Diceros bicornis minor: one gene and its partners. The protein of the gene in region 4 interacts with the protein of the main gene of each other region in a pairwise test. Links are inferred from orthologs where the notes say so. Each region holds a gene or a part of one and is shown on either strand. Other genes may lie near its edges.

Region 1 (8,032 bases), on a different chromosome or scaffold from region 4:
TCTGAGTCTCATAGCACTTTGTTAGCGCCTCTTTTTTTTTTTTTATAAGTTTTGTAATTTTATTTATTTATTTTTTCCCCCAAAGCCCCAGTAAATAGTTGTATGCCATAGTTGCACATCCTTCTAGTTGCTGTATGTGGGACGCGGCCTCAGCATGGCCGGAGAAGCGGTGCGTCGGTGTGTGCCCGGGATCCGAACCCGGGCCGCCAGCAGCAGAGCGCACGCACTTAACCGCTAAGCCACGGGGCCGGCCCATGTTAGCGCCTCTTTATGACACTACACATTCTTCAACATAAACTCAAAGTCCATCCTCTCACTTAGATTTAAGCTCCTTCAGGGCAAACACTTTCTCACATATCTTAACATCCCTCAACCACAAACACAATGCAGGCAAGCACTTCATAACTACTTGTTAAATGTGCAGTGACTTAACGTAAATATACTAAATTACACTGGGCTTTGATTTCCAGACATTTCATGGCAGTTATCATTTGATGATTATTCATCTCCCTGTACTAAACAATATACATCGACGGTCTTAAGGAATATTCATTTAAGATTTTTTTGTGTGTGTGAGGAAGATCAGCCCTGAGCTAACATCCGATGCCAATTCTCCTTTTTTTTCTGGGAAAGACTGGCCCTGGGCTAACATCCTAAAGTAACTTCCTCTACTTTATATGGGACACCTCCACAGCATGGCTTGACAACTGGTGCATTGGTGCGTGCCCGAGATCCGAACCTGTGAACCCTGGGCCGCCAAAGCGGAGCCCGCGCACATAACCGCTGCACCACTGGGCCGGCCCCTCATTTAAGATATTTTTAAAAAGGGTCCAAAATGTAAAATACAAAAAAGATAAAGGAAAAGGTTACTTTTTACGATATATCCTATATATACTAAATGCACGTAAAAAGAAATACAACTTACCCTGATACAGCTGAAACAACAAAGCTTGGAGCAATGAGGACACAGGCGTGCATCCCGCAATTTCTCCATACAAATGAAACATCGGAAAACCTCAGCAATGCTCTGAAAATAGTAAAAGATGTAAAGTCCACCACATTAGGCTACTGCATGAAGAGTAAAAGGCATGCTTAAAATAATTCACTCAATATTTACATTTATTTTGGGCTGATAACTTTATACCATATCAGGACTTGGTTAGTCAAGGTCCAGGGTACCTGAGAACGTCTCCTGGAAAAGGTGCTTCCTTTTTTCTAAGCTTTCAATGATTCTATTCTAAGGAAAAGATATGAAACGCAAACATAGACTTATGCACAAATATTTTCACTGAAGCATTAATTATAATGGCAAGAATCTGGCTATTAGCCCAAATATCCAAATACTAATTAAACTATGGCAGTTAATACAGATTATGATAATCACTAGAAATATTTTTTGAATTATTTAATGATACAGAAAAATGCTTATGATGTATAACAGTAAGAAAAAAAAACTATATAATTGAATGAACAATATGAACTTTCTACTGTTTTCTGCACTTTCCCCAAGAGGATGGACTGCTTTTATAACTTAAAAAAAAAGGTTTAAAAAGATACATATCCTAATAGCAGTGTGCTTTGATCACGAGAAAAACTAATTCAGAATCCAGAAATCCAAATTTCTGCCCTGATGCTGAAACCAACTAGCTATTTATTTGAGCCTGAGATTCTGCCCCTATTGAGTTTTGGTGGTAGCTCTATGAACGCTCTGGGAAGAAAAAAAATTACATAAATAGAAAAAGCAGTATTATCTTTGCAAGCCTTAGATGAATCAATTTAGGAAGTAACTGACAAGAAAACAGATACAATTAAATACAGGTTATTATATATTTTATGTTTGTTTTTACAGTACTCACATTCATTTTGACTCCATTCCAGGAGAATTAAACTCTCCCAAAACCAAGGTAAGGTTACAAAACCTTTATGATACTTTCACACGAGGAATTAAGGAAAAAATTACTCATGAGTCTCATCATGACTCTGCAGGACCAGAAAGAACCTGTGACATGCAGACGTGGGGGGGTGGCCAATACGACCACTGGGTTAACTAGTTCCAAGTGGAGTGCCCAGTAACATAGTTGCCCCTTACTGAGAAGCAAAGATTTAGTACTTGGAAGGATCAAAATTTGACAATTATTATATAATTGAGTCTAATAAACAATCTTTTTTATGTTGCTAGCCTTAATGTAAATATCCCAACCATTCGAAATCACAGCTTACAAGAGTCAGATATAAAAATAATAGGTTTTTCCGGAAAACTACAGTCAAATAGGATAGTAAGAGTATATCTTCATTCAATCTAGGAAGGGCTGCAAAATGTACCGCTGGGCGGGAATGATTTGTCCATTCGGAAGATGTGGATCCGCGCGTAAACTCGCAAGAACTGGTGGCGAGTCGCAGGGCACGTCCATCTGATGAATTCGCAGTTTTGCTCTGCACACGCTGTACTTTGCAAAAACCCTGTGGGGATGAATACCGGTGCCAAGACATCCAGAAAAGGCCAGGATACGAACCATCTGACTGCGGGAACGGCCAGAGCACAAGGCACCTGGAAGGCTGCAAATAAGCGCTGTGTCCTTCGCACGGGGGGAGGCCCTCTCCACAGCGGCAGGGTGGGGTGCCCTACCAGAGGGAGGACTAGGGCAAAGCGCCCCGGATAAAGAAATAAAGAACGCTTAGCGGGGGGGGCGGGGGGTAGACTAACCACCACCCACCTCAAGCCCCCTCACCTCCACGCTCTGTTCATCCATTGCCTCCGGCTCTCGGCGGGGCCCTTGGCGACCCGCGGAGTCCGTAGACTGACCTAGAAGGCGCCGGCCCGAGGTCGCCGGGACAAATCGCCGCGGAGAACAGCCCGGCGCCCACGTCAGGGTGCTCCGACGACTGTCCCACCTGCGCGCCCCATCGCTTCGGGTTCGGCGCCAGCTACCCCCCCTTCGCCATTTTTATTCGCGAGCCCGCCACAGGGCGCAGTGGGAGGGCGAGCTGTGGCCGCAGCTCCTTCCTCCCGGCTCAGCCGCCCGCCAGCGACCGCGAGGGAGTCTCGGCCCACGTGACGCGGGGTATCGAACCGCTGCTACAGCCGGGCGGCGCTGGTCTCCAGCGAAGACGGCGGTGCAGGGAGTTCGCAAACACCAACGGTAACCAGGGCAGCTGGAGCCGCGGCGGCTAGGGAAGGCGCGGCGCGCATGCGCGCAGGACGCTGCGTTAGGGGAGTGCAGCGGCGGGGCGGACCCCTAGTTCCCGCGTTGCGGGTGCGCAGACGAGATTTGGCGGCTCGCTGCCGCAGGGTTGCGTGCCTTCGGCCCCAGGCTAGCGCAGGCGGCCAGGAGCTTAGCGCTTCGCTTCGCCCCGCCCCCCTCGGGGGAGGGGCAGCGCTCCACCCGTCTCAAAGTTTTGCGCGCCAATGACCGGAGGCACCTGGTGTGCTAGTGGAGAACGCCGACTCCGGAGCCACACCCTTGGGTATTCGGACTCGGTGATTCTAGGGTGGGGCTCCATGCAATCCACGTTTTCAACAACCACTCTGTGGCCCGCGCTTTGAGAAACCATGGTGCAAAGGATTCTCGGCTGGTAGTTCGTTCTCGGGGAGGAAGCCCAGATTCTCAGGTTTTTAAGACTTCCGCCCCACCTACGCAAGCAAAGCTCCAGATCATGAAGCTTAGACCGGTGGGGCTTCTCATTTCGGGGTGGGAGGAAAAGACCGCAGACTGTGTAGACATCAGACCGATACCACACCCCACCCCACCCCAGCCCTGCATTTCTTGCCGCTTGAGGTGAGCTGTTACTCTGGAACTATGGAAAGTGCACAAGGGTTATCAGCTGTCTTCAACTTTCTTCTATTGGCGTCTGCTTTCTACAATTCTCTAGCATAAGAGATGTTTAACGATTGCAGGAATTGAAGGTGTGAGATAAAGGACGTACATCAAATTCTTAATTTGAACTTAATTTTTCCATTCTGGTTTGTTGCAAATACCTACTATACTTAACCCAACCTAAAGTGCACATGTAGAGAATCAACAATCTAGAAAGAAGTTCTTGGTATCAAGGCATTTGGACTTTCTTATAAGTAGTGGATAACAACAATTTTTTTAAACTATGTGAGCCATGGACAAAGATATAAATTAGGAAGATTAATCTGTGACGGAAAAATTCGTTCACCAACAATTATTCATGGTCTTGGAACAACATTGAGGTGATGGTAGCACAACACCATTTGTACTAAAATGCCCTCAATTGTACACTTTAATAATGTTAAATGGTTAATTTTTATGTTATGTGAATTTTACCTCAAAAAAATTTATAGAACACTACTTGAGATTCAAAGAGTAATGAGAAATGGTCTTTGCAACCCAGTATAGTAGAAAAGAATAAGACAAATTAAAATATATATGATAAATATTACAATAGGTTCTTGTACAAATAGATATATTTGCCCAAGAACCCAAAAACGTTTCAGGATTTATTACAATAGTTTATAACTGAAAAATTAGAAAACCTGTACAGCTAGTCATTGGTTGCAAGCACAAAGTCAGATTCTGGCTAACTTAAGCAAAAAAGAAGTTAGTTGGCAGGATGCTAAACTACACACTGTGGAGTTGGGAAGCCTGTAATCTGCTCCATCAGAATTCCTTAAAGGCTGACCTTACTGCCCTCCCCCCATTACTGCCCCTGCCCCAGACAAATCTCCTAACTTGTCTATTATGCAGCTTAAAGCCTATCAATAAAGTACTAGTAAAAATTATGGGACACCCATATATTGGATTACAGCTGTTCAAAAGAATGGCAGATTTGTGACATGAAGATATCCAAAATATATTTAAAATGAAAAAACCAAGTGCAGCTGCAGTACAATGTGTGGTATCAGCCTATTTTTGTAATGAAAAAAAATTTAATTTGTATACATGTAGAAACATCTGAAGAAACTGCAGATTACTTCTGGAGAATAGGCACACTTGTATTTTTAAATTTCTTAAAATTAAAGTTGCATTAAAACAACTTAATTAAAATTAATTTTTATTACTTACAACTAAAAACATAAAAACACTATAGTCACATAAGAGAAAACAATTATCCAGATGGGAAATAAAAGGTCTAAATTAGGGTAGTAAGAATGAAGTGGAGGTTGGAAACTATGAACATTCCAGAGACAAAATTATAGATTTTATCAACTAACCAGAATAGTGGCCAATAACGAAATCAGTAAGTATTTTTGACGTGTTCAATTTGAATACTCAAGTAAAGGTTTTCATTGGAAATATGGATGTAGATCTAGTGCAAGAGTTATATTTGGGAATTATCCACAAAGAGACAATAAATGAAGCTTGGGAAACAAATGAATATATAAAGAAGTGCATAGAGAACAATTTTAAGGGAGATGAGGGGAAGAACCAACATTTCGAAGATAGCTGAGAAGGAAGGAAAAACAGTACAGTCTAGTATTTTTCCCAAGTGAAAGCAAAACCACTTGAACACCAGGAACTTGTTATGACCTCATGATACTATCATTTTTCAATCCCACCAATCAATATCATATCCCAGGGCCATCCCCCAACAGAAACTTCCTTAATATTAATTGCCTGAATACTGAAGAAAATTAATATCTGTTACTAAGGTGTGACTTATTTCTCTGTAATTTAAAAAAGGGGAGCTTTCTGTTCTTAAATTAGACAGGACAATTTTAACTGAAGCTACTCTCCCAACCGTGTCTGTCAGCTATTATAAGTTTTTTAATGGACAACTACATGCTCACAACAGAAATTTTTTTAATTATATGAAAGTGTAATTCTCTAACCTGCAGAACTAACATTTGATGCATTTTTCCTAGTCTTTTCAATGCCTTATTTTTATTACATATATGGAAAAACCATTTATTGAAGGATTACTAAATATCAGACCCAACCACTTTACCATCTCATTGTGCTTCCAACCATCCTGACACATAGAAGTTAAGTGATTTGCTCAAGGTCACATAGCCAGATTTGAAAACCTGCTATTTACATCTCAGGTATGACTCCAAAGCCCAATCTTAACTATAAAACTGCAAGATGTGCTTCTCTTCTCTCCCATTTAGCATAGCTTCAGCATTTCCCAGAACATTAACAGTAATAATTTATTGGCAACTTGACCTCTTATTGTATAGATACACATGATTTCCTTTCCTATTTAGATACCAGTAGCTGGATATGTATGTGTATTTCTATTATAGATAACTCTGATTAACATCTTTGTATCAAGATCTGTCCCTACTTTGAACAATTACCTTATTGCCCATAGTTATTTAAAAATAAATAGGGAAATTCACATACACGCACACACACACACACAAACTGGCAAGTAGCAATAGCCAGTGCTCCTCTGATTTCAGTTTCTTACTTTTCATATAGAATGAACAACTATAGTAATATAGGCTGAAAGAGAACAAAGGTAGTATTGAAATACAAGAGGGAGGGGCCAGCCCGGTGGCGCAGCGGTTAGGTGCGAGCACTCTGCTTTGCCGCCCGGGGTTCGCAGGTTTAGATCCTGGGTGTGCACTGAAGCAAAGCTTGTCAAATCATGCTGTGGCGCCGTACCATATAAAGTAGAGGAAGATGGGCATGGATGTTAGCCCCGGGCCAGTCTTCCTCAGCAAAAAAGAGGAGGATCAGAATTGGATGTTACAGGGCTGATCTTCCTCACAAAAAAAAAAAAAAAAGGAAATACAAGAGGGACCATCTGAAACAGCATTTGAAAGCAGAGCTCATGCTGTTCAACATTAGTAGGCATAAGGAATAGGAAAAAAAGAAACAAAAGTGAGGCTGTCTTAGAAAAGCCAGCTTACTACTAAAGTTAGGTTTTGTAGGAGACTGTAGGTCACATATTAGTCTCACAGATAATGTGAGCACATTTGCAATCAAAATTTTCCAAAATAAAATTATCTACATATATAATACAAATATTTTTTCTATCCTTTAATTTCCAAAGCATGCTCATTCACGTTTGACTGATAGTACACAAATATTCTTTTACAATAGGCCAGGACACCTATGTTATCCTAATTATACAAAAACAGATGCAAAATAGTATTAAGAGAATTCCTTGCCTGAAATGATAAGACTAAGAGTATGTGCATATATTTTTTAAATCCCTTTATTCCCATTCTATCCTTTTGGCTAATTATTAATATAATATCTGCCCCTCCTATATTCCCCTCTCTTGTGAAAGGCACACTATCCAGTCACCCAAGCCAAATCTTCTCCTTCACCATCCCCCCACCTCTAGTTATCAACTGCTAACAAGACATCTTCCTAAACCTCTCTGGAATTGATCTCTTCTCCATTAGAGTTCCCTCTTGCAGGTCCATTTCTTCATAAATCTGACATGTGAGATTTTAATTGCTCTGCTGCAGTTTTCTCTTCTTCAGTCAGTGGTGATAACTAGAAAACAAATGACAAAATCTTTATTTTAAAAGCTTTAAAGACTGTTAAATTGATTTAGTTAACTTCTCCTTTGTCACACCAACAAATGTTTCCATAAGCTCACACTATGTATGTATGTGATCACAAATTTAGGAAGGCAGAGAAAAAATAGATATTTGCTTATCTACATACAAGGTACTTTGATGTTGGAGTTTCCAAAGCACTTGCAATTAAGTTGAAGAAATAAGACCAAGAAACAATTTTAAGACTGGAATTTAACAGAACCAAAGAAGTCACATTTGTTTTTTTGTTTGTTTTTGCTGAGGAAGATTAGCCCTGAGCTAACATCTGTTGCCAGTCTTCCTCTTTTTTTTGCTTGAGGAAGATTAGCCATGAGCTAACACCTGTGCCAATCTTCCTCCACTTTATACGCAGGTCACTACCACACTGCCGACAAGTGGTGGAGGACCACGCCTGGGAACCAAACCCAGGCTGCCGAAGCAGAGCGTGACAAACTTAACCACTAGGCCATGGGGCCAGCCCAGAAGTCACGTTTGAATGCTATATTTTAAAAGTATTTTGAAAAAGAAGTGTGAACAAAAATAGTCTGGAAGTTTCCTCAGAAGTAGACACTT
Region 2 (7,888 bases), on a different chromosome or scaffold from region 4:
ACGCCACAGGGCCGGCCCCAATGTGATGTTTTTAAAAATCAAAATTAATGCAAAAAATCCATAATGAATAGAATATCAAAATTCTAGATAGAGAGAGAATCCAACCAGTGACTCAGGGTTGGTGGGCTGGGGTGGGGGTTCTCTGCGGTTTGTCTCTTCTAAGCTGAATCCCAGATTCCTGGAGTTGGTTGTGAGCCTTGCTCATCCTTTTGCTCTCTCTTTAGGCTCTTACAAAGCTAATCTTTCCCGCCTCCTTCCCCATCAGTTAAATTCCAAAGGAAGACTCAAGCAACTAACTGAGTGATAAGATTTCCATGCTGAACAGAGAGTGGGCCTGGAACCTCAGAGAATGAATGAAAGTCAGCTTGCTGTGCCCTGCCTTGTGCGACTGCTGCCATTGCTGCTGCGACTGAGGGGACCTCAAGGGAGAGCCCAGGGCCCCTCCTGGATGGGAACCTCCCCCGACCAGTGAAGAGTACAGGGCATTAAGCAGAGGGTGTCCATGTGCTCTTGGGGTGGTCAGCTGCCTGGCACGTGAGCTTACTCCCTAATGCAGCGCCATGGCCCCTGGCCAAAGGGAAAGACGGCGCATTTGGGTCTTGCTGAAACACAGAATGATTCTGCCTAAGCCCAGCCCTTGGCTCTGCCCATGCCTTCCCAAGGCCTTGGCTCCCAGTTCCCTGGAAAGTGGCTGGAGGCAGCCGAGGGAGATGTGGGCAGAGAGGGAGGAGCTACGGTGGCAGGCGCCACACAGGGGAGAGCTCTTCAGCCAGGTGCAGAGCCAAGTCACTGAGAGCGCCTTGGAGAGGAGAAGCAGAAAGTGCCCATTCTCAGCAAATCTCCAACCAGGGCTAGGAATAGGTCCGGATTTAACTGGCTGGGGATTTAAAGGGCCCTCAGATTGAGCAGCCAGGAGGGCTGTGGTCAGTATCATCCATTGTGAACACGGTGAGGGCTTCTTCAAGCATGGAGACTGAATATTTCAAAAGGAGGATTGTGCTTGAAATCTACTGCAGGGTGTAGGATTTGGAGTCTGAAGCCCGGGGTTCGAGCTCGCTTCTAGGGTGACCAACTGTCCCAGTTTGCCTGGGGCTAAGAGGGTTTCCTGAGATACGGGACTTTCAGTGCTAAAACCAGAAAAGTCCTGGGCAAATTGAGATGCAGGGGTCACTCTATTTAGACTCCATTCTAGCAGTGTTCCCCTCAAACTTTCCATCTCTCCTTTTCCACACGGATAGAACCGAGATGCTGATAAGACCTGCTATACTTACCTCGCAAACTGGAGGGACTCAAAAGTGCTAACATACATTTCTCACAGCACCTCGAACCTCCCCGATCATAGCACATCCACTGCCAGACAGGCCTCTGCAGGCCTCTCCTCCCTCTCAATGTGAGCTCCTTGGGGGCGAGACCACCTTATTCATCTCTGCATCCCCAGGGCCTGGGCCAGTGCTTGGCAAAGCGAGGATGCTCGAGAAGTCTGTGCTACATGGAAAGTGCCTTGTAAAGCAAAGCACAGTGTCCTCGTTGATTGGTTGGCACTCTCATTTTCTGCCTGCCCCTGGTTAGCCCCAGGAGAAGGTTCTCTATAGGTTCAGACAGACAGACGTTGCCCCTAGAGTGGCTGTCAGAAGGGCATAGCGGGCAGGGGGGGAGGGAGGCGCAGGCACTGCCTTGTTCCAGGCAAAAGGTAACCGGGTGGTGAGAGGAGCTGGGGAGAGCCCCATGGGGAGATGCGGAAACAACGGGTCCCCACTGTGGGGAGGAGATGGACTTTAGCTGGGCTCTTAACAGGCAGGCCAGCTCTGTCCTCTGGCCTTTGGGGCTCCAGCGCCGAGCGGGGCTTTACCTGCAAGCTGAGGTCTAGAGCTTGCCCTTGGCTGCCCACCTCCCTGACTCTCCCCAAGGCTGGTGATGCCTCAGGAGGGCTCCTCAGAGGGGTGGCCTTCCCTGGGGGTCACCCAGGCCTTAGCACGCTGATCTGCCCCCTTGGCCTGGGCATGGCCCAGCTGGGCAGGGTGATACCTCATGGCCATCTGTCCTGAATCTCAGTGCTTCATCTCCCTCTCATTCCTTGCCTCTACCATCCCAGCCCTAGGGCTGCTTCTCTGCCTCTAGGCTCCTGGAGGGTCCCGCTCTCCTTGACCACTCAGGGTCCTGGCTCTCTTTGACCACCCAGGGTCCCAGCCTCAGTCCTAGCCTTCTGAGCCTCCGTCTCAGCTCACTCCCCTGGTGAGCAAACCTTGTGGCTCTGGGACCATTTGGAGCTGGCCAGGGTATGGTGGGGAGAAGCATGATGCAGAGGTAGCCCAGATTCAGGAAAGCCCCTCTTCAGCCCTTGCCAGCCTGCACCCAGACACTCCATCCCACGTATCCTCCAAATCTTTGTGGATCCTATTTCATTCTCTTGCTGGTACATCCTTCCTGGAGCCCAGGAGTACAGGGGATATAGACAGGGTCCCCATCAGGAGAGAATCCTAGAACTCTGAGTAGAAGAAACCCCGAAGTTAACTCCTGCCTTTGGGTAGGTTAGATAGTATTGTTCGCAATTCATGGTCAGAGCAGCTAGGCTCAGAGAGGGCAAACAACCTCCCCAAGGTCACACAGTAAAGGAACGGTCAGCTGCTCCTCAGCCACCTACCTGAACTCTCCTTTTTCCGTCTGGCTGACTTCTTCTCCGTCTCGTTGGCAGTGCTCCCAAGGACCTCGTAGTCCTCGCCTGGGCCTCCCGTGGCGTCCACCAGGCCTGGGCTGCTGGCCCCCATCTCCCTGGAGCTCGCAGCTGGGCCCGGGTTGAGCCTGCGCCTGGCTTCCGAGACAGGGAAGTGCCAGTCGGGGGGCTGTGGGAAAGCGGGGTGCTGCTCAGTGAAGACACGCTCCTCCCGGGGCAGGCTGTGTGGGGTGGCCGCCAAGCAGGAGGCTGAGAAGTCGGGGTACGCTGCTGTTGCTGTCGCCGGGAAGTCTGGTTTCTGGTGGAAGGAGAACGGGGTTGGCGGGTAGTGGGGTAGCCCCGAGGCCCCATTGCCTTCCGAGTGGGGATTCCGAAGGCAGCCCCAGACCGGGGCTGGGGGGTGGGGGCTCCTCATGCAGCTGCTGGCCGCGGGATCCATCTGCCGTCTGCTGCGTGCCTCCGTCTTTTCGGTTTGATTCTTATACTTTTTATATTAAAAATTTTTTAAATGCAGAAAAAAAAAGTTAAACAAGAGGGAAAAATGTTCAACAGAAAATTCACCCCAGGAACCAAAACAAAAACTAAAGTCTTTCCTTAAAGTATGCACACACGTGGCTGGCTACACGTACGTGTGCACACACCTATGTCGGACTTCTCTCCTGGCTTCCTGTCCCCCTGACACACCAGCCTGCTTATCGGGGTCCCCTGTACGTGTATTTATCACCGATGACACTGAACATTTTCACTGTCCCAGCCCAGATGCACCAGCTGATGAGTGCTCGTCCTGGAGCCCTGCAGAGGGCTGGACCAGGGCTGCTGAGACACACTTTTAAATCCTGCGGTGGGGAGAGAGTGACAAATTTCTGAAGTGAAATGTGAGAGAGGAGAGGGAGGGGTTAACCTGCACACGCACGATCCCCTCCAACCAAAACCCGAGCAGGCAACTATTAATCATCAGAAACCTTATATGCACATCTAATGGGATTTGCAGATGGAGACTTTTAAAGAAACATTGTCTGTATTTTTTTTTTTTTAAGGAGCGAGAGCAGCACACACACACACAACTTCTTTAATGTGCCTCCTGTAACACTATGAAGTTATTTTATTGCACTGTTAACAAAATTCCCCAAGTCTTGGATTTGGAAAAAGCCTTAAGTCAGATCCAGAATCCATCAAGTGCCAAATTCCAGGGAGTGAAGAGGGGAATAAGTGCAAGAGACAAGTTTGCTGATTGCATTTGATTTAAGGGCCCTTCTACTGCCGCTTGCAAAAAGGGAGGTGGATTAAAAGAAATCTTTTTTTGCAAGTCTCAGCGGCCCACTATGGTCTGTAGTATAAAGAAAGACACACTCCAGAAAAAAATGATTTCTTTCTGCCCAAAGTGACAGTCTCACTTTCTCAGCAACTTAAAAAAACTTTCAGATTCTTCCTTCCGCTCTTTAACCCCCAACTTACATGCCAATTAGCCACACTCTTCTCTAGAGGGGTTTCAAGTCGTTTTTCTCCATGGTAAAGGAAAGGCTCTTAGATGAGGTCCTTGAAGTTTCTCCAGGCCTCCCCCACCTGCTCCCTGGCCCCCCTAACCTTCACCCACCTGCTTCCCCTGCCCCACCCCCCCCGAGGCCAAAGCTTCCATGGAATCTGGGGCATGGAAATAGGAATCAGGGGGATTCTCATTCCCAAAGGAATTGTCTTGGGCAAACAGTCACATGGTCTTCCTGGCTGGTGCCTATCACAGGAGGACCAATTGCCATCTTGACCGGTCCATCAGTCTCCTTAGTCCTCATGCCCTGCTGGTCTTTCTGGAGGGTTAATGTAATTTCTTGGAGGACGACATTCCAAGCACACGGAGCCAGTGCTCCTCTCCTACCGAATATTTCCGTGGCCCGGAGCAGCAAGATCAGGCTGAAATAGGCATGGACCGTAATAGCAGTGTCTCTGCTGGCTGGTTCCAAAGATGCCCAGGGTTCCCTGAGGAGGGGCCACGGGTCTTAGCTCTGCAGCCTGGAGGTGGCACACACTCTCTTCATGAAATAGGCATCCTGCATTCTGGAAAGGGCGGCCAGAGTGTCGTAGGCCAGTAGAGGAGATGGAGTCATAGCCACAAACCAGACTCATCTCTCTGCTTTGTCCAGGACTTGGCTGTTGCATACACGTTTCTCCTCTCAACCTCACAACTCTCTTATTGTCGGTAAAGTCAGAATTATGTTCTACATTTTACAAATGAGAAAAATGAGGCTCAGACAGATGATGTGGGCTGCTCAGAATCACAGCTAAGATATGGCAGAACCAGGAGTTGCCCTCAAGTGTCCAGCTGTCCAGTCTGGAGCAGCTTGATGCAGAAGAAGGAGCATGGACTTTGGGGTTAGACAGGTGTGAGTTCAAATACTGGGTCTGCCACTTCCTGGCTGTGTGCCCTGGGACAAGTCGCCCCACCTCTCTGAGCTTCTGTTTCCTCATCTGAGATGATAGTCAGAGCTGACATTCATCCGCTGATCTTAGCACCTCACACATATTCCCCCAGGGGATCCTCACAAAAGCCCTCTGGGACAAGTGCTTTTCTCATCACCTCCGTTTTTCAGAAGAGGACTCTGAAGCACAGAGAGACTGTGTAACCTGCACAGGGTCACACAGCTGGGGAGTGGAGGATCCAGGATTCCAACCCAGGCAGCCTGGCTCCACTCCATCAGGATGCCCACTCCACAGACATTGGAGAATTTTAAACAAATCATTCATGTGAAGTGCAAAGCAGGTGATAGATAAATGCGGCTCCCTTCCTAGCATATCTCATTCTCTTTAACTCAATGATTCCGAAGGGGGACTGTGGGACTGGGGAGCACTGAGGAAATTCTACAGAAACAGCCTTGTGAGGTCCCTCGCGGGGTCCCAGGCTGTGGGGGCTCTGGAAGGAATCCATAGAAGGCTGGGAGGAAGATCTGGCCTGTCAGCTTTCCTAGGAAAACCTTCCCCAGGGGCCTGGCCCGCAGGCTGTAACCGGATTCCTGCTCTGGCCTTGCATCTGGCCCAGAGACCCCATCCCAGGGAGGCCCAGCGCCTGGCCCTTTGCCCCTGGAAGGGGTGGGCCCGGGGTCATGGTGGGGTGGGCGGAGAGGTCAGGAGGGGCAGCGGGGAGGGGGCGCGGCGGGGGTGCTGTGGCTCTGTGGGGGGGCCCTGGCACCCCTGCGCCCCGCAGCTGCCGGCGTCTGTCAGCCACCCCGCGGGGGCGCGGCCGGGGGCCTGCTGGCCTCTACATCTTCCTGACAGGCCCCTCTTCGGAGGCCAGGAAAAAACAACAAGAGTTCCTCCCGTCACGGCAACCCATTTGTTAGATGAAGGCCGGGCACCAGCACCTTTAACCTCCTCAAAGTCGGCGTTTCCCCATCGAGGCCCCGCGGCCCGCGGGACAGAGATGGATGGAAGTGGCTGTTTGTGGAAAAAAGCCCTGTGGCCGTGCGGCCAAGGGGAGCAGGGTTTTCAGGAAGGGAGGGGACCCCGTTTCTGGTTGTTGTTAGGGGTGGCACGGGGAGGAAAAGGGAAAGTGTGCGTCAGGGGGAGGGTCCCAGAGGAGGACTGTCGCGTGCCCACACCTGAGCCATCGCAAAGAGCTTTTGGAATTTCCCCCATTGTGCGCCACAAGCGGGCGTGTCCCAAGCCGCAGACCTGCTTCCATGCCTGGCCACCCCACCCACCTGTGCCTGGAGTGGCAGGGTGTCCCAGGGAGAACCTGGGGACTGGAGGCAGAAGACTCGGGCTCAAGGTGTGAAGGCCACACAGCCTGTCATCGGCTGTGTGGTCTCAGGCAAGTCACACCCCTTTTCTGAGCCTCAGTTTTCTCACTGGTGAAATGGAGATGACAGTACCAGCCTCACATGGCTGTTCTGAGGATAAATGGACTGATGTCTGTGAAAAGAGTTGTAAAAGGTTAGGCACGTGGGGAATGATTATGGCTTCTCTTTCCTTACTCTGCTGGACCACTGGACAGGTCACGTCTCGATGGAGGATGAAGATGGCCCATCCTAGCCCTCCAGGACCTTCTTCTACGGCAACATAACAGAGGGTCAAGATCATGGCCTTGGGAATTAGGAGAGCATGGGTTCAAATCCAAGCTCCGTCACTAATAAGCAGAATGACTTTGAGCAACTCACTTTATCACTTGAGCCTCAGTTTCCTCATCTGTAAAATGGGGATCAACTCTTTCTTCTTTCCCCATTAGGTTGCTGAGAGAAGTGTAGGAGGCGATCTAGGAGAGCTCTTGCCACAGCCCGGTATATACTTTTTAGTGATAATTTCTGGATGATGATGATGATGGTGATGAAAATACCTGAGATTTTTGCCTTAAAGACAACTCCAGAAGGCCCTGTGAAATAGTTATATGCCACCCAAGAGGGACAAGATGGAGCCATTAGTATTAACTCTCATAGTACAACATGTGAACCAGATGAGACACCTCTTCCCGAGCAAGACCCTGAGGGACAGGACAGGAGACAGACAAGCTTGAATATGGTGGAAATGGCTCTGGACTAGGATGTTTACCACCAGGCGTGGGGTTTATTAGAATGTATATGTCCTTTGCTTCTCAGAAGCCTTAGAGGCAGGGTCACTACTGCCCTATAAGACTTTTGTGAGGTTCAAGTAATAGGATGGACGGGACACAGTGGAGTAAACCGCAGAATACAATTCTCACGACTGTCACAGCCTCCCCTGCGACGCCTGCGAGGTGGGACCAAGACATTCCACCCTAGAGAACCAACGATGGGGTCTTTCCCTAAATCCCAGAAAACACTGAGCCGATAGAGACAGTTTCCTCAGATGACTGTTTTCTCTCCTGTATATATTTTTTAAACCTCTGGTGAGGACCATCGCTTGTCTGCTACCAAGATTGTAGGCAGATGACTGGAAAACCCGACAGCATACAGAGTGGCCTGCATCTGAACCCTGGCTCTTGAAGGTCACATGACCTCGGTTTCCTCAGCTGAAAAGTGGAGACTTGCTGTAGAGACCATGGACGGGCACTCAGGAGGTGCTCCTTAAACACGCCCCTTCCAGGGCTTCTGTGCCTGAAGGAGTCAGAGGCAGGCTGATGTCAAGGAAACGCTCTAAGTTAGGGCAGCTAGATAAAATACAGGGAGCCCCGTCAACTACGTTCCGTGCAATATTTGGACTTCAGCTAAAAAGTGATTTGTTGTTTATCTGAAATTCAGATTTAATTGGGTGTCC
Region 3 (7,973 bases), on a different chromosome or scaffold from region 4:
TTTCCTGTCTTCCTGACTGAACATATTCTTTTTTTAACAGGTTTATTGATATAATTTACATAAAAATTCACCCTTCACCCGTCTTAAGTATAAAAGTCATTGAATTCAATGAATTTTATTATACTTACAATGTTGGAAAACCATCACAATTTAATTTTGGAAACTTCATGGCCATTTATAGTTGCTTCTCATTCCTATCCCTAGCCCTAGGCAACTACTACCCCACTTACTCTTAACCCTTCAGGCTGTAGACTCTGAATCCTGAGTTCTGATCTCTTTGCCCTTCTAACACCTCTATTCTTTATCAGATTCATCTGTAGCTGAGGATAAATGGCTCTCAGCCCTGGAAGGAACACGATGGTTGGACTATGTCAGGTACTCCCTTTTTCTGGCCATCATTTATAATTCGACCCTCTCCAACCTTCTGTTAACTTGGACTCCTAAATGGCCTTCCATTAACTCTTCTCCTTGGTTTCCCAAGAAGACTGTTATTTGCTGCTCCTTAGAAGGAGCTGCCTGTTTCATCCCAGGACCCATCACTCCCTCCCTTCAGGCTTTTCATTCTTCCCTCCCCTTCCTCACCTGCCCCTCCAGGTCTTGTCTTCGAAAGGCCAGTGACATCTCAGTCTTAGTGACATCCAGAGTTCGCTCTGTAGTACTTCAAGGTGAGTTTCTTGGGTCAACTCCCTCCATTCCTTGCCTTTTTCCTTTACCCACCTGACTGGTTCTGCTCAGAGAGGGAGAACTATAAGGCTTCCTTGTTCCCTTCTAGTGCTAGCATCCTCCTCTCCTGTTACTAGGAACTACCCATGAGCTCTAACTCATCCTTCAGTGCTACTTCTGCCTCCCCACTAAGCTTGTGGTCCCTAACAGTAGGGTTCTCAGCTCTCTGTTCCCGTCCTTCCATCAGTGGATGGGGATTGGGATTGGGGTGGGAAGGACAATGTGGAAGCTGGTTTGAGATTTGTGATTCTGCCTCCTACATGTGAAGCTGGGTATTTCTATCCAAGTGGAGTCTATGAAGTGAATCATTCAAGGTCTTTGTTTTGTCTTCACTTCTATGTGCCCTCTCAATCCTAACTACCCAAAACTTTTCCCCTCTGTGCCTCTTACTTCTTCTTGCCGTGCTTCCTTTTCTCATTCTCTTCTGCCCTAGTTTCTTGGTCCCTCCTTCTTTGTCCCTTCTCCCTCTTTATCACCCAGAGCGCGGTGATCGTGATTTCAATGGCCTCCTCTCTTCACTCGTCCAGCTGCTTTCAGCCCCTGAAGCCCGAACACTGCTTGGCTTCCAATCACTAGTGCAGCGAGAGTGGGTGGCAGCTGGACATCCCTTCCTGACCCGACTTGGGGGAACTGGGGCCAGTGAAGAGGTGAGAATGTTTTGGGAGTGTTTTGGGGGGGGGGGTATTACTAAAGAAGTAAGGGGATGAGAAAATTATATAGTATAATCCATTGGAGGTGAATCAGGTCAGAAGGGTCCTGAAGTTAGGCTGAGCTTGAAGAGAGACCCAGATGAGTGAGGGACCACAACCCTTTACACTCAATTCAGATTCCATTCCTGACCTTCCTACTGGCTCCTGTTCCCTGTGTCTCTCATCCCGTCATTTTGTCATCCTCCCCTTCTAGGTCCCCACAATCTCTTCCAACCTCGTAATTTCCCTCCTCAGGCCCCAGTGTTTTTCCTCTTCCTTGATTGCGTCTGGCAGCTCCTCCAGCAGTTTCCAGCTGAGTTTGAATTCTCTGAGTTTTTCCTTCTTGCTCTTCAAGACAGTGTCAGGGTTCCTGACACCCTTACATTCTTGAGAGACACTCCCTGGGAGCGTGGAAAGCAGAGTGGACAGGTCAGTGACTTCCATTTTTGACTTGTCTTTTTTTCCCCCATTGAGAAGTACTCTCTGAATTTTAGTCTTGATTTATGAAAAGTGAGGTCTGTCGGTGGGAAAGGGGGAGGTTGGCACTCACTCTCAGGACCCGACTTTCACTCCATCTGATTCTTGGAGTAAGAGATAAGAGTTTCATGATTTCTCTATAGACGTGAGAGAAGGATTATATTTTTTTATGTTTGTTTAACCATCCTTTTTCTTGTTTCTTCTGTCCAGTTCAACTCCTATCCACAAGTCTATACCCCAGGGTACTCCCAGCTCCCAGCTGGGAACTCTGTTAACCCACAGCTGTCTGTCTGGGACTGGGATTTACGCTACAGCAATGAACAGATACTACAATTCCATAATCCTGGCTATGACCCGGAACACTGCCCAGATTCCTGGCTCCCTAGACAGCAGGTGAGGTGTCTAAATTTCCTAAATTCCCTTGACTGTCTCACAGACTCATCCTATTAGATGGCGAGAAGTGGAAAGGCACAGTGTCTGAGTTCCCCAGGGAAAGCTATCCCACTCCTCTTCTGTAGCTGTTATTTATAGTCGCTGTCCCCAGGAAGACAGAAATCCTGGAATTGCACAGAGGGCATCCTTTTTGTCCTCCTCATCTCCTTTCTCATGCACACATTTTACAAGTTTCCCTAAAGTCAACTTTAATCAGTCCTGAGGTCTAGTCTGAAACCTAATGAGGAGAGTAAACAGAGTTCTCAGGGGTAGGCTTGTAGTTCCATCAATAGTGCAGTGTGAGTGGGTGGTTGCTGGGCATTCCTTCTTGACCCGGTTTGGGGAAACTGGGGTCATATGGTTTCCAGGTTGCTAGTTGATTTCTCTTTCTCCTTTAGCCAAGCTTCATGGTTCCTGGACCCCCCAGTTCTGTGTGGCTCTTCTCTAGAGGGGCCCTGACCCCCCTGAATCAGCTCTGCCCTTGGCGGGACAGTCCCTCCCTGCTGGCAGTCTCTTCTCGTTGGCTCCCTCGACCTGCTATCTCCTCTGAAAGTCTAGCTGATCAGGAGTGGGGGCTCCCCTCACATTGGGGAGCTTGCCCTTTACCCCCAGGGCTGCTGCTGCCTGGATATCTGGGACCCCAGATCAGACTCTGGAGACGCTGCTACCTGAGGGGAAGGCCTGAGGTCCAGGTGAGTAGGGAAGACAGGGATTGGGAGTGGGAGAAGGGGCTTGACTGCTGAACTAGATGATCCAAGAGAAACCAGCTATTTCTAGGAGCTGGAAAGGCAAGAGGCTGGAGGGACTGGGAAGTCAAGTTCTATTAGTGTAGGTATCCAGGTGGATACATTTGGGAGTGTGGGGCACGGGGGAACCTGCTTGTGACTTAGATCAAGTGGAACCTAGGGCATAAGTGGAGGGGGAAAGAGAATTAAAGACGCCAGAAGCAGTGGACAGATCTTAGAAGCAGAGAGCTAGAGCTGCAATAATATTCCTCTCTGCCTCTCTTCACCCCACCCCAGATGGGCCTCTCGGCTCCCACAATCTCTGGCCTCCAGGATGAGCTATCCCATCTTCAAGAGCTATTAAGGAAATGGACACCAAGAATATCTCCTGAGGATCACTCCAAGAAAAGAGATCCAAATACCATTCTCTCCCAATCCCGTTGAAATTGCTGGCTTTCTCATGGGCAGGGCAGAGGGCAGTCTACGATGGGGAAGGGTTCCTCTAATCCTTCAGTTTTTCTTATCTGGTCTTGCTGCCTCAGCTTTTACACTCCAGCCCTTAAACAAGCTGGCTGACTTGTTTCCATTGCAGATGGCGGGGTGCTAACCTTCTCTAACTCTTGTCCCGTCTCATTTGTTTCTTATAATTTGAAGAATTAAGAAACAAAAACAATCCAAAGTATGATCACCTCTTTTTTTCAGGGAAATTGCATCCATTTTGGATATCCAGCTGTTAAATTGTGAGATAAGAGATGCTATTCAACAGTCCCAACAAGAAGGTCTACAGACCTCAGTCTCACCTCCTCTTGCTGCTTCTTTAACTCTAATTTCTATTTCTTCCCTTACAGTTTTCTATGGGTATGTGGAGTGGATATGGGAGACACCCTGTCTCTTCCAATTGTGTATTTTTGTAGTGACATTTCTATTAATGAGTTCATTAAAGCTCAGTATTTATACACACTGCTGGCATAGTTTCTTGTGTTTGAATAAAAGATCCCAGGTAAGTGGTGGATGGAGGGTGGCTGTGACCCAAGAGAAGGCGGCACCCACCACATATTGCTAAGGAAATAAGGGTATGTGTCAGGTGAGGCTCTGCAGAATTCATATGCAATTTGGGAAAAGTGTTCTCTTTTCTGTGCCTCTCATTTAGGGGAAACATGGGGCAAAAGCATACCAAGGTGTTGTCGCTGCGGCGAGCGGTATGTTCTGGACGTTAAGACTGAGGACCCCGGGCGTCAGTGTCAACCGCCCTCAGCTTCGGTCGCACTCCATCTCTGAGCCCCAGGTTCCCCTCACCCCCCTGTGCAATAACGATTCGGTGAACTCATACGTCGCTCCAGCTCAGACATTCCGCAATCCCCTCCCCTGAGGGAAAACGAAATACCTGAAGCCCAGCCCGGCGGTGAAGCCGCATCTGCCCAAAGGCGGCTGCCCGGGGTGGAGAGCTGCCTCCGCGCTCGAAGCAGCCGAGTCCTTGGGGTGGGGGGGTTCCTCAGCACACCCTTCTCTGGGGAACAAAAGAAGGAACATTTGGCTACAAAATATATGAAAAGTAAAGTTTTGTTCTTTTAGGTTTCGAATTTACACTTTTGGGAGCAGTATAACCCTTTAACGTCTAGCACTTCTTAAGACGGTCTGAGCATTTCCCTTCCGCCTTCCCCGCCCTCCCCGCTCGCAGCGGCACCTTAACACAAAACCAGCGACTGGAGAACTGAGCGCCGTCTCAGCGGCTCCCAAGATGGCCGCGGCCGCTTCCGGCCCCTCCCCCGCCGGGGCCCCACCCACAGCCTCCCGTACGCCTTCGCTCCGGAAGTGGAAGTAGTGACTGAGTTCAGAGGGCGGAATCGCTGCTTGGAGGCGGCGGGACGTTTTTCGCCATGGCGGCCGGGCCCATCTCCGAGCGGAACCAGGGTGACTGGAGGGGACAAGCCCGGAATGGACTCAGGGCGGCTGGGAGGTCTCGACTAAGGCCAGCAGTGTTTCTACCGGGGCGGGAGACTGAACCTCCGCGGAGGGCGCGAGAGCGGCCCCGGTGCCTGCTGGGGGCGGGGTGGCTGGGTGCGGGCTGAGGCCTGTAGGTGTGATGCTCTCTATATCCAATCCCCTGCTGCCTTCCCGCTCCAAAAAAAAAAAAATTCAAAAAGAATTTGCGGCAGAACTCTTAGACTTCAGAAGATTCTCCAGTTCCTGGAAAGAGAAAGGTGTAAGGGCTTAATCTAACGTCTTTTTTTTTTTTTCTTTTTGCTCCTCTGCCTTATCTTCACTCTCAATTCCCCCGCCTGGATTCCATCTTCATATTTCTGTCACCTCCTTTGCTGTCATACTCTCATTTCTGCTCTAACTTCCTGCTCCCGCCCTCCAGATGCCACGGTGTACGTGGGGGGCCTGGACGAGAAAGTTAGCGAACCACTGCTGTGGGAGCTATTTCTCCAGGCAGGGCCAGTAGTCAACACCCACATGCCAAAGGATAGAGTCACTGGTCAGCACCAAGGTGAGTACATGGCAAGAGTGCATTTGGCTGTTGAGGGGACAAACTGCTCCTGGAGGACCCCAGCAGTATTCACAACTGTTTTGTAATGAGCAACCTAAAGATTTCTTTCTCTTAAGCCTAGCTCACAGTTTGTTTCTGGAACCATTCTCAATCAAAGTGAGATTATTATTTCTTGTTCTTTGTGCTTTCGGAGGTGAATGACTTTTACACCATTTTAAATCACTTCACGTAAGTTGTTAACCTCCTCTCTTCCACTTCCCCAGGCTATGGCTTTGTGGAATTCTTGAGTGAGGAAGATGCTGACTATGCCATTAAGATTATGAACATGATCAAACTCTATGGGAAGCCAATACGGGTGAACAAGGCATCAGCTCACAACAAAAACCTGGATGTGGGGGCCAACATTTTCATTGGGAACCTGGACCCAGAGATTGATGAGAAGCTACTTTATGATACTTTCAGTGCCTTTGGGGTCATCTTACAAACCCCCAAGATTATGCGGGACCCTGACACAGGCAACTCCAAAGGTTATGCCTTTATTAATTTTGCTTCGTTTGATGCTTCGGATGCAGCAATTGAGGCCATGAATGGGCAGTATCTCTGTAATCGCCCTATTACCGTGTCCTATGCCTTCAAGAAGGACTCCAAGGGTGAACGCCATGGCTCAGCAGCTGAACGACTTCTGGCAGCCCAGAACCCACTCTCCCAGGCTGACCGCCCCCATCAGCTGTTTGCAGATGCACCCCCTCCACCTTCTGCCCCTAATCCTGTGGTATCATCATTGGGATCTGGGCTTCCTCCACCAGGTAAAGCTTTTGATTTAAAATATGTTTGTCTTGGGTTGGGGAAGGGAGGGCAGGAGGAAGGAAAAAGAACTTGATAAAGACAGACATTGAGTCAGTGGGTCGTGAGAAGGCTTGAGGGATGATGGTTGTGGTGGGGAAGAAAACTGTTGAGTTTCTCCAGAAAGTTGAAGTTGTATGAGTTGCCTAACATTGCTTCTGGCTTTAGAGGGCTGGGAGGAGGGGAAAGGAGCTCATCCTGCCTGGAGAGGCGTGATTGGAACTGGCTCTCTAAAGATAGTCTCTCCTCACTAGCATTAACTCTTCTTCCATTTCTTCTATAGGCATGCCTCCTCCTGGCTCCTTCCCACCTCCAGTGCCACCTCCTGGAGCCCTTCCACCTGGGATACCCCCAGCCATGCCCCCACCACCTATGCCTCCTGGGGCTGGGGGACATGGCCCCCCATCAGCAGGAACCCCAGGGGCTGGACATCCTGGACATGGACACTCTCATCCTCACCCATTCCCACCCGGTGGGATGCCCCATCCAGGTGGGTGTTCTTTGCTGAGAAAGGGAGGGATGAGCTTCATAGAGGAGCTCTATCATCACTCATGCTGCTGCTTTTTATCCTTCAACAATAATAGTCCCAGAGCTCTCCTTTCCTTCAAACGTTCATTTACAAAAACAAACACAAAACTCTTTACTGTGTTTACTTTACCAATTACCATCCTGTCTCGATTTCTTAGTTAAGTTTTTCCAAAGAGTAATCTATACTTGCTGTTTTCTGTTTCCTTAACTTTTATTTCCATTCTCTCTGACTTCCATTCAGTGCAGTGACCTAATTGCCAAATTAGGGGACATTTCTGCTCCTTATCTGGTTTGACTTTTGCTGTACTTGAAACCAGCCATGTCCTCCTGTTTGGAAATCTTGTCTCTTGGTTTTTCTGGATTCTCCATCTGTCTGCCTGACTCCTCGTTCTCAGCCACCTTAATAAACTTCTTTTTCTCCGCTTGTCCCTAGGTTTTTGTGCTTGGTTCTCTGTTCTGCATAGTTCCATTACTTTTACATTGATGCCTCCTAGATCTATATTTCTGGTCCATCGTTATTAACATTTCAGATCCTTAATCCTGCTGCTTAATAGACAGCTCCACCTTTTTATCCCTCCCCTTCAAATCTATTCTTCCTGTAGTATTTGTTTTCAGAAATCTTGGAGCTATGTTTGACTATTACCTATCACCCCACTCTTAATACCAAGTCTTATTAATATCTCTGGCAACAGCCCCCACTGCCAGTGCCCTGGTTAAGGCCCTCATATTTTCATTATTTCATACCTAATTTATTGTAGTAATTTCCTAGGTGACACTTTGACTCCAATTTCTCTACTGTTGATCCAGTTTCATGGTAATTTTTCTAAAACACAGATGTTCACACACCCTTGCTCAAAATTTTTCTCTTGCTCCCTTTTACCTACAGAGTGAAACTCAGAGTTGTTACCATAGCATTCTAGGCTTTTTGTGATCAGGCCCCTGCCCATTACTCCTGTGACTGCACGCTGCTCCTTTATTACTGAGTTACTCATTTTCCTGGAACGTACTGCGCTGTTTGACATACCTGTGATTTTCACATGCTAATCTTTTATGCCTGGGATGTTC
Region 4 (7,173 bases):
AAAAAAAAAAAAGATACAATAAGCTAAACCCCAAATGTGGGATATTCTAATAGAAAAGGAACCCAATCTCTTCAATAAATAAATGGCCTGAAAATAAAAGAGGGGTGAGTGAGAATTGTTATGGTTTAAAAGAGGCTTAAGTCATCTTTCTCTTTCAGTTCCTTTCCTTTTCATTTTCTTCCAGAACAATTCAGTCCCAAAGTCATTTGGTGGGCTGAATGAGGTAGGCATCTGTGTCGGTGAGTGGAGGGGAAGTAGCTCAGAGCACAAATGGGTTGAGAAGGGTGCTCATGTGGATTGAGGGGCCTCTGGAACATGGGAATCAGGACCCAAGCAGGGTGAGGAGTGTATCTGTGTGGGAGGATGGCCTGGTTCAGGGTGTTGGAGCCTGAGTGGGGTAACCTGGCACAGGATTTCAGGGTTTCAGAGGGGTGAAAAGGGCATCTGTGCAAGAGAGGGGGGTGGTTATGGCAACAGATACTGGTTACATACTGGATAATTGATCAAATAAGTTAATATATTAAAGATAATGGGAATTAGGTTTATCCATGTTGGAGAATGGAGTTACAAATGTGGAAATGAAGAAAACTAGAATGAACTCTGTGGTATTGAATTGGAATTGGAGGTATCTGTATGAACTCATGGTTTCAATATATATAGACATATATAGAAGTATAGTCATTTATGTGTGTCTATATCTAGATCTTTGTCTGTATCTATGTATCTTTCCTCCTAGCTCTGTCCATCGAAAGGACCTGGGAGCAACAACACCCCAATGTTAATGAGCATACCTAGTGTCCAGATCTTGGCTTTGACAATTTTGAACTTAACCTGAGCCCTGTGCTCCTGTGCTCTTTCCTTACCAAAGTCTGGATTTTTTTGTTTGTTTGTTTAAGCCGAGGAAGACTCCCCCTGAGCTAACATCTGTTGCCAATCTTCCTCTTTTTGTATGTGAACTGCCACCACAGCATCGCGACTGACAGACAGTGGTGGAGGTCTGCATCCAGGAACCAAACCTGGGCCGCCAAAGTGGAGCACACCGAACTTAACCACTGGGCCACTGGGGCTGGCCCTAGATTTGTTTTTTATTTGACAGTTTCTAAATACCACCTTAAACAAAAATAAACCAGGGATTCTTGGAAAATGGGCTGATTCCAAGGCTTGGGCAGAGAAAATACAAAATGAAACTAGGTTATCTTCTTGTACTAGCAAATAAAGAAACACTCAAAGAATATGGAGGCATGTGAAAAGGACACAGAAACCAGCTTGAAGGGGCTCTCCCTGGCTAAAACTGGGACAATTTGTGCATCAAATAAATACTGATAACAATGTATTATTATCTCACTGAATAAAAATATGAATCTACTGAATAAAAATAGAAATCGAGTCCATATTGATATAAAAATAAATAATTTGAAAGTCTGATGAGAAATTTGCATAGTTTCAAAAAACTGCCTCACAAAATACTTGCTAATTACAAAGGGAAAAGGAGTAATCTTACAGTGGAGAAGTTTGGCAGATACCACTTTAATTAAATGATCAGAGTAAATATCACTAGTAATGAACAAATGGAAATTGTGTGTTACCTGATAGGATGCAATGAGAACACAGTCACATTTCTGTGACAGTTCTGCCCAAGATGGCTAACCTGAATCTAACCACAAAGAAACCTCAGACAAACCCAAGCTGAGTGTCATTCTATATCCTAACTGTCCTGGAATCTTCATGACTCTTCTGTAGTTAGTTGTGGCCATGTGATCTACTTCTGGTTCATAAGATTTAAATGGGAGAAAGTGGAGTAGGCTTTACCAAAGTCATCATTGTTCTACTTAAAAATGGGGTAGGCTTGGGGCTGGCCCCGTGGCTTAGCAGTTAAGTGTGCAGCTCCACTACTGGCGGCCCGGGTTCGGATCCCAGGCGTGCACCAACGCACCACTTGTCCTTCCATGCTGAGGCGGCGTCCCACATACAGCAACTAGAAGGATGTGCAACTATGACATACAACTATCTACTGGGGCTTTGGGGAGAAAAAGGGAAAAAAGGAGGAGGATTAGCAATAGATGTTAGCTCAGGGCCAGTCTTCCTCAGCAAAAAGAGGAGGATTGGCATGGATGTTAGCTCAGGGCTGATCTTCCTCACAAAAAAAAAAAAAAAGGGAGTAGGCTTAGCTGGCATACACTTTTTGCTCTATGACAATTCCTATGTCTTAATCGATGACATATGCAGATATGGAAGAACGAAACGCACTCTTGCGACTATGAAGACTTGAGTTACAGTCTAAGTGTTACAACGCAGAAAAGGAGAAACAACCTGTTTCCTTCAGCAACTGCACCAAGCCTGGACCAGCTACCTTCAGGCTCCTTATTACATCACCCCTTGTTTGATTAAACTCTGGATTTCTATTAGGTGTGGTCAAATGCAAACTAGTCAAAACAACTTGCTTTTCCCTTATTTTTCTATATCACCCCATCTAGCTCCCCTCTCTGATCCCAACATTTTTTTGTTGGCAATTTTACTGGTATTGCATTATATTTGCAAATTAATTTATGGACAATAGATTTCTTTATGATGTTGAGCCTTCTTCAAGCACATGCTATACCTCTCCATTTGTTCTAGTCTTTTGTGCTGTAAGTAGGGTTGAAAGTTTTTGTCATATAATTTTGCATGTTTCTGCTATAATCACTATTTCTTTTTATTTGCCCCATAATTGACGCGGGGGGGGGGGAATGATGTTTTTCTGAATCCCAAGAGAATCTGAAAGACTTTAATGCCATTAGAGTTAATTATGACATAATCAGTCAAGGCACAGTTAGTGGGTTAAATATTTCAAGGCCAATTCGTAAATTAAAATTCACTTTTCTGTAACAAAAATAAGAGTACATTCTATTTTGTATATCAAACGTGTAAACACTGCATGCTCAGAGTTAAGATTTTCATAGATTAGGTAAAGTAGAAACTCCTGGGAGAGCTTCTTGCAAACACAAATTCAGTTTTATGAAACCTGAAAAGAAAGCGTATTTACCTGTCTAGTTTATGTTAACTCTTTTTAATGTCATTAAAGTATCTAGTTTATAATTATTGTCCAGTCTTCTTTATCTTTATGATTATAAATGTAAGCTCAGTGTTTTATACTCGCAAAGCACTTGATCAGTGCTTCAGAATGTCTTACTCAACATGCAACTTAAAGTTTTATGTTTGGGAGAGAGATTTTACGTTTGTATCATAAAACAAAAAAAAAAATCACACAAATAAATCGGTAATTGCACACTGTAATGAATAATGCTTGGATGGATAAGTACGAACATATAATATGAGGTCGGAGAAAAAATAATGTGAAACAACAGTTTAAATAAGCACGGATAAATTATGAAGTATAATGCAAAATTCACAAGACTTTCTCATATACTTAAGAAGTAGTTCACCAAAGCAAAACACCGACTCTTCGAAGCAATTTTGCCCTCCTGCTAGCTTGCACAGCCTTTCTGGCCAGCCTCCCTTCAGCCCATTTCCCCAGCACAGGGAAACTTTGGCGAGAAGGGCACTTCGGTAGAAATCTTTGAGAGGTACGGATTTAACCTTTATGAACTTCTAATTTACTCTGGTGATTTTAAGAGGAAATAGGTGAGAATGCCGTTAGTATTGCCCAAAGTGCGTAATAAATGTACTGTGACATTAATCTTGCTCGGTGCGATCTCAATATACGAAGCTGGGCAACTCCCGAGTTTGGTTTTCAATTATCCTTTAAAACCTGGAGCTGAAGGGATCACCAGAACATTAAGCAACACTCAGATCCGCGCATGCTCTGTTAATGGAGCAGCGCCCCTCCAACCACAATCGGAAGTCTCCGTTTGTTTATTAAATTACGACAGTCGTAAACAGATTTCGTGACGGCTTCCTCGCTTTACGACGACAGCGACTATGGCGGCTGCGTCCGGTAGATTTGAAAGTGCGAAGGGCATCGAAGAGCGTAAGGAACACACCCGGATTGCTAGGGCCGAGGTGTTGCGCCAGGTACCTCCGTTTTGGGGCTTTTGGAACCATTTAGAATTGTGAGAGGGGGGTTCCTGGGAGCTAGGCCTCTGCCTCTCCTCCCTTCCCGCCCCCTCTCTTCTCTCACCCCCTCAGTATCTCACCTTTATTTGGGTGCGTGGGTGGGGTCTCCCTTTGGGATGCCCGTAAGCTCTTGGGTACCTCCCACCTCCTAGGTGCTCTGGCAAGCTCCGGTTGCTTACACTCTTTTTCAGGAAGGCTTGTTTCTTTCTTCTGAGTTTCTTTGCCTTTTAAATCATCCATTCTTGACATTTCTGGCACCTTATCATTTGGGCTGCGCACTTTCCAGGGACGCCGCCGCTAATACCGACTCTCCTAGCATATTTCATAGCCTCAGTCCTCGTTTTTGCAGTATTTGAAATGAAATTTTCCGTGTTCAGGAACTCATGTAAGGAGCATTGGAGTAGACTGTGTTTGACCGTTTTATTCTTCTGTTTACTATTGGTATCAATTTCAGGCTTATTGTAAACCCTTACTGGTCAAATCAAGGATTGATGCAAGAGAACCAGAAAATTTAGTCCCCTGAAAAATGTTGGGAAACATCGTATTTCTCATTGAGATTGAGATACGTATAGGTAACTTATAAAGAAAGGAGGAAGTAAACTGTACTGAATTATTTGACAAGATGTAAGAAGTATGGCAACGAAGGAGAAAAGTTGTAGTTGGAGAGAAACATATGGTATAACAAGTGAGGGTTTTTATTTTTGCTTAAGATGGAAGAGTTTAAAACGAGTTTAAATGCAAATGAAAAGGAGCTGGTAGAGGAAACAGGAAGGAGAAGGCATAATGACTACAGCCAGATTTTAAAGGGGAAGAGTGGGCTGTCGGTCTTGGATAGGTGAAAGGTTGGTATTGATCCCTGATTGTACCATATTTAATATATAATAAATATTCTTCATCCTTGTCTCTTTGATATTTCAGGTGTTTTTTTGGAGTGGGGTTTGTAAGCTGTGATAAATTTTATAGTAGAGCTATGCATAGAGTTTGAGAAGGACCAAACCCAGCTTTGGAGTTTGGGGAGAGAATGAAAGGGCAGGAACAACCTCCTAGGAAGAACTTACTTTATTTGACAGTTGTTGAAGGTTGAATAAAAGTTAGGAATATAATCATTTGTTTTGAGAAAGATGATTCCTTCTGAAGCATTTTGGGAGTGTGAGTAGAGGGGTATGGGCATTGAGGATTAAAAATGTGCAGGTCAGTCTCCTAACATTTACAAAAGTCTCAGGCAGTAGCAGTGGGATGGTGAAGATAAAAGAGATTCAAGTTGTATTTAAGGTAGGGGGCTTAGAGAGAGAAGAGGGTCTGGAATAGGTCCCAGATTCTGTCCTTGATTGGCGGCTGAATTCACTAGAGATTGATAATATGATTGGTCATGTGGAACGAGAGATTTTTGTTTTTTAAACCTTTATACTTTGGTAGAAGCACATTCCTGGCGAGGGACAGACAATTCATTCATGAGCCTTATATGAAAGTGAAAGTTTTTGTTTTACTTTTTGTGAAAAGAGATTGGATCAGTTGTTAATTTTTCTTTTTTCATTGTTTTAGGCTAAAGCCAATTTTGAAAAAGAAGAAAGGCGTAAAGAACTTAAGCGACTTCGGGGTGAGGATACATGGATGCTACCTGATGTGAATGAGCGAATTGAACAGTTCTCACAGGTGAATACTAACATGTTTACCTGATGTAAGCATGTTTGTCTTTTTTTGTACTTATTCAAGTTAGTATTGGAGGAGCAACTTTATCGACTATTTTCACAAGTTTCAGAATGAATATCCCATATGGGCATTATTGAATAGTTTTTCTGGCATAAATAATTTTAATATTGTGGGCATTATGACGTTGGAAAGATTTTGTTACTTGAATTGGCAGGTAGAAAGCTTAGCTTCAAATTTCTGGCCCACTTGTAGCAAGCTTATGTGTCTAAAAAATTATGCATTTTAAACTTAATGTCTTTTTTTTTTGTCTGAATCCTTGTTTTCTCTTCCTGTAATTTATGCTATCTTGTTATATTTTATATGGTTAGTAATCTGTAAATACTTTTGGAGCCCTAGAAAGATATGTACGTATGTATGTTTATGTTTGTGTGTATATGTGTTTATTTGATTATATCTGTCTGTCAGATGTATCTACAAATAAAACTAAAACTTCTCTCATTTTTTTTGATAAGAAATCTCAGCTATATGACTTATTAGTAGTGCATATGTTACAGAAGCATGTTCAAGTTTCTTAGAAGATTTTATTTAGTTATATTCCTTGTCTCATTTCATGAAAGATATAAAGTTTTTTGGAACATAGATCTTTTTTTCCCTTAAAATATTTCCTTTTAAAGTAAGCTAAAACTAAATTCCTTTCTTACTCTTCAAAATGATTATAGGAACACTCTGTGAAGAAAAAGAAGAAAAAAGATAAGCATTCAAAAAAAGTAAAGAAAGAGAAGAAAAAAAAGAGCAAGAAGCAAAAGTATGAAAAAAACAATGAGTCAACTGATAGTTCATCAGTAAGTATGTACTAAAACTGACCAAAGCAGCTACTTGAGAAAACTGTATTTAAAGGAACAATGTATGGGAACTTAAAATATATGAGAACTTAAAAAATATTACCAGTTAGGGTGTGAAAATACCTGGGAGACATCTACTTGGAGATGTTCAAGAAATATTGGAAATAAGGATCTTAGGTTACAGAGAAAGGTGAGAGGATGGAGGTATGATTTGGGAATCACTGCTCGTTGAAGCCAGTAGAATGGATGAATTGCCTAGGGAAACTGAAAGGAAAGAAGAACACTCAACACCAAGGAGCTAGACAGGAAGTAAAGGACACTGAGTAGAAGTAGCTGGAAAATTAGGAGAAGCAGGAAAGAGTAGTACTGTAAAAATAAGGGAAAAGAGTTCCAAGACATTTGAGAATCTGTTACTTCTGTTTGTTTTTACATAGAAAAAAAATTTTGAGTCTTTCAAATAGGATGTGTTTATATATTTATCTTTGGGGCCAAAAGGAAGAGAATGCTGGGTCTGCTGTGTCTCTAGCCAGTTCTGGGATGAGAGGACTCACAGAGGAAAGGAAAGCAGGGCAAACCCTTGGTGCTTGTTTTCAGGAAGAAAGAGGTATATTGTTCTTAGAGACTGATG

The links.
Region 1: the proteins of CWF19L2 (region 4) and TRIM37 interact in binary tests that used the Homo sapiens proteins (3 or more experiments, as listed by UniProt). The two-hybrid records come from large-scale screens. The link is inferred for Diceros bicornis minor from reciprocal best matches to the Homo sapiens genes CWF19L2 and TRIM37.
Region 2: the proteins of CWF19L2 (region 4) and MEOX1 interact in binary tests that used the Homo sapiens proteins (3 or more experiments, as listed by UniProt). The two-hybrid records come from large-scale screens. The link is inferred for Diceros bicornis minor from reciprocal best matches to the Homo sapiens genes CWF19L2 and MEOX1.
Region 3: the proteins of CWF19L2 (region 4) and SF3B4 interact in binary tests that used the Homo sapiens proteins (3 or more experiments, as listed by UniProt). The two-hybrid records come from large-scale screens. The link is inferred for Diceros bicornis minor from reciprocal best matches to the Homo sapiens genes CWF19L2 and SF3B4.

What each region holds. Positions count from the first base shown.
Region 1 is NC_080757.1:28,654,563-28,662,594, reverse strand, and holds the start of TRIM37 (E3 ubiquitin-protein ligase TRIM37), read right to left. Parts: upstream 3,196-8,032; 5' UTR 2,751-3,195; coding exon 2,730-2,750; intron 2,461-2,729; coding exon 2,323-2,460; intron 2,306-2,322; exon of another isoform or gene 1,863-2,305; coding exon of another isoform or gene 1,857-1,862; intron 1,028-1,856; coding exon 926-1,027; intron 1-925. Other genes in the region: SKA2 (spindle and kinetochore-associated protein 2), read right to left, coding at 7,403-7,415. UniProt on the Homo sapiens protein: E3 ubiquitin-protein ligase required to prevent centriole reduplication. Probably acts by ubiquitinating positive regulators of centriole reduplication.
Region 2 is NC_080757.1:42,388,884-42,396,771, forward strand, and holds the start of MEOX1 (homeobox protein MOX-1), read right to left. Parts: upstream 3,111-7,888; coding exon 2,642-3,110; intron 1-2,641. UniProt on the Homo sapiens protein: Mesodermal transcription factor that plays a key role in somitogenesis and is specifically required for sclerotome development. Required for maintenance of the sclerotome polarity and formation of the cranio-cervical joints.
Region 3 is NC_080743.1:54,472,359-54,480,331, reverse strand, and holds the start of SF3B4 (splicing factor 3B subunit 4), read left to right. Parts: upstream 1-4,858; 5' UTR 4,859-4,923; coding exon 4,924-4,957; intron 4,958-5,408; coding exon 5,409-5,537; intron 5,538-5,800; coding exon 5,801-6,343; intron 6,344-6,663; coding exon 6,664-6,870; intron 6,871-7,973. UniProt on the Homo sapiens protein: Component of the 17S U2 SnRNP complex of the spliceosome, a large ribonucleoprotein complex that removes introns from transcribed pre-mRNAs.
Region 4 is NC_080746.1:28,177,517-28,184,689, forward strand, and holds the start of CWF19L2 (CWF19-like protein 2), read left to right. Parts: upstream 1-3,888; 5' UTR 3,889-3,918; coding exon 3,919-4,011; intron 4,012-5,595; coding exon 5,596-5,706; intron 5,707-6,422; coding exon 6,423-6,545; intron 6,546-7,173.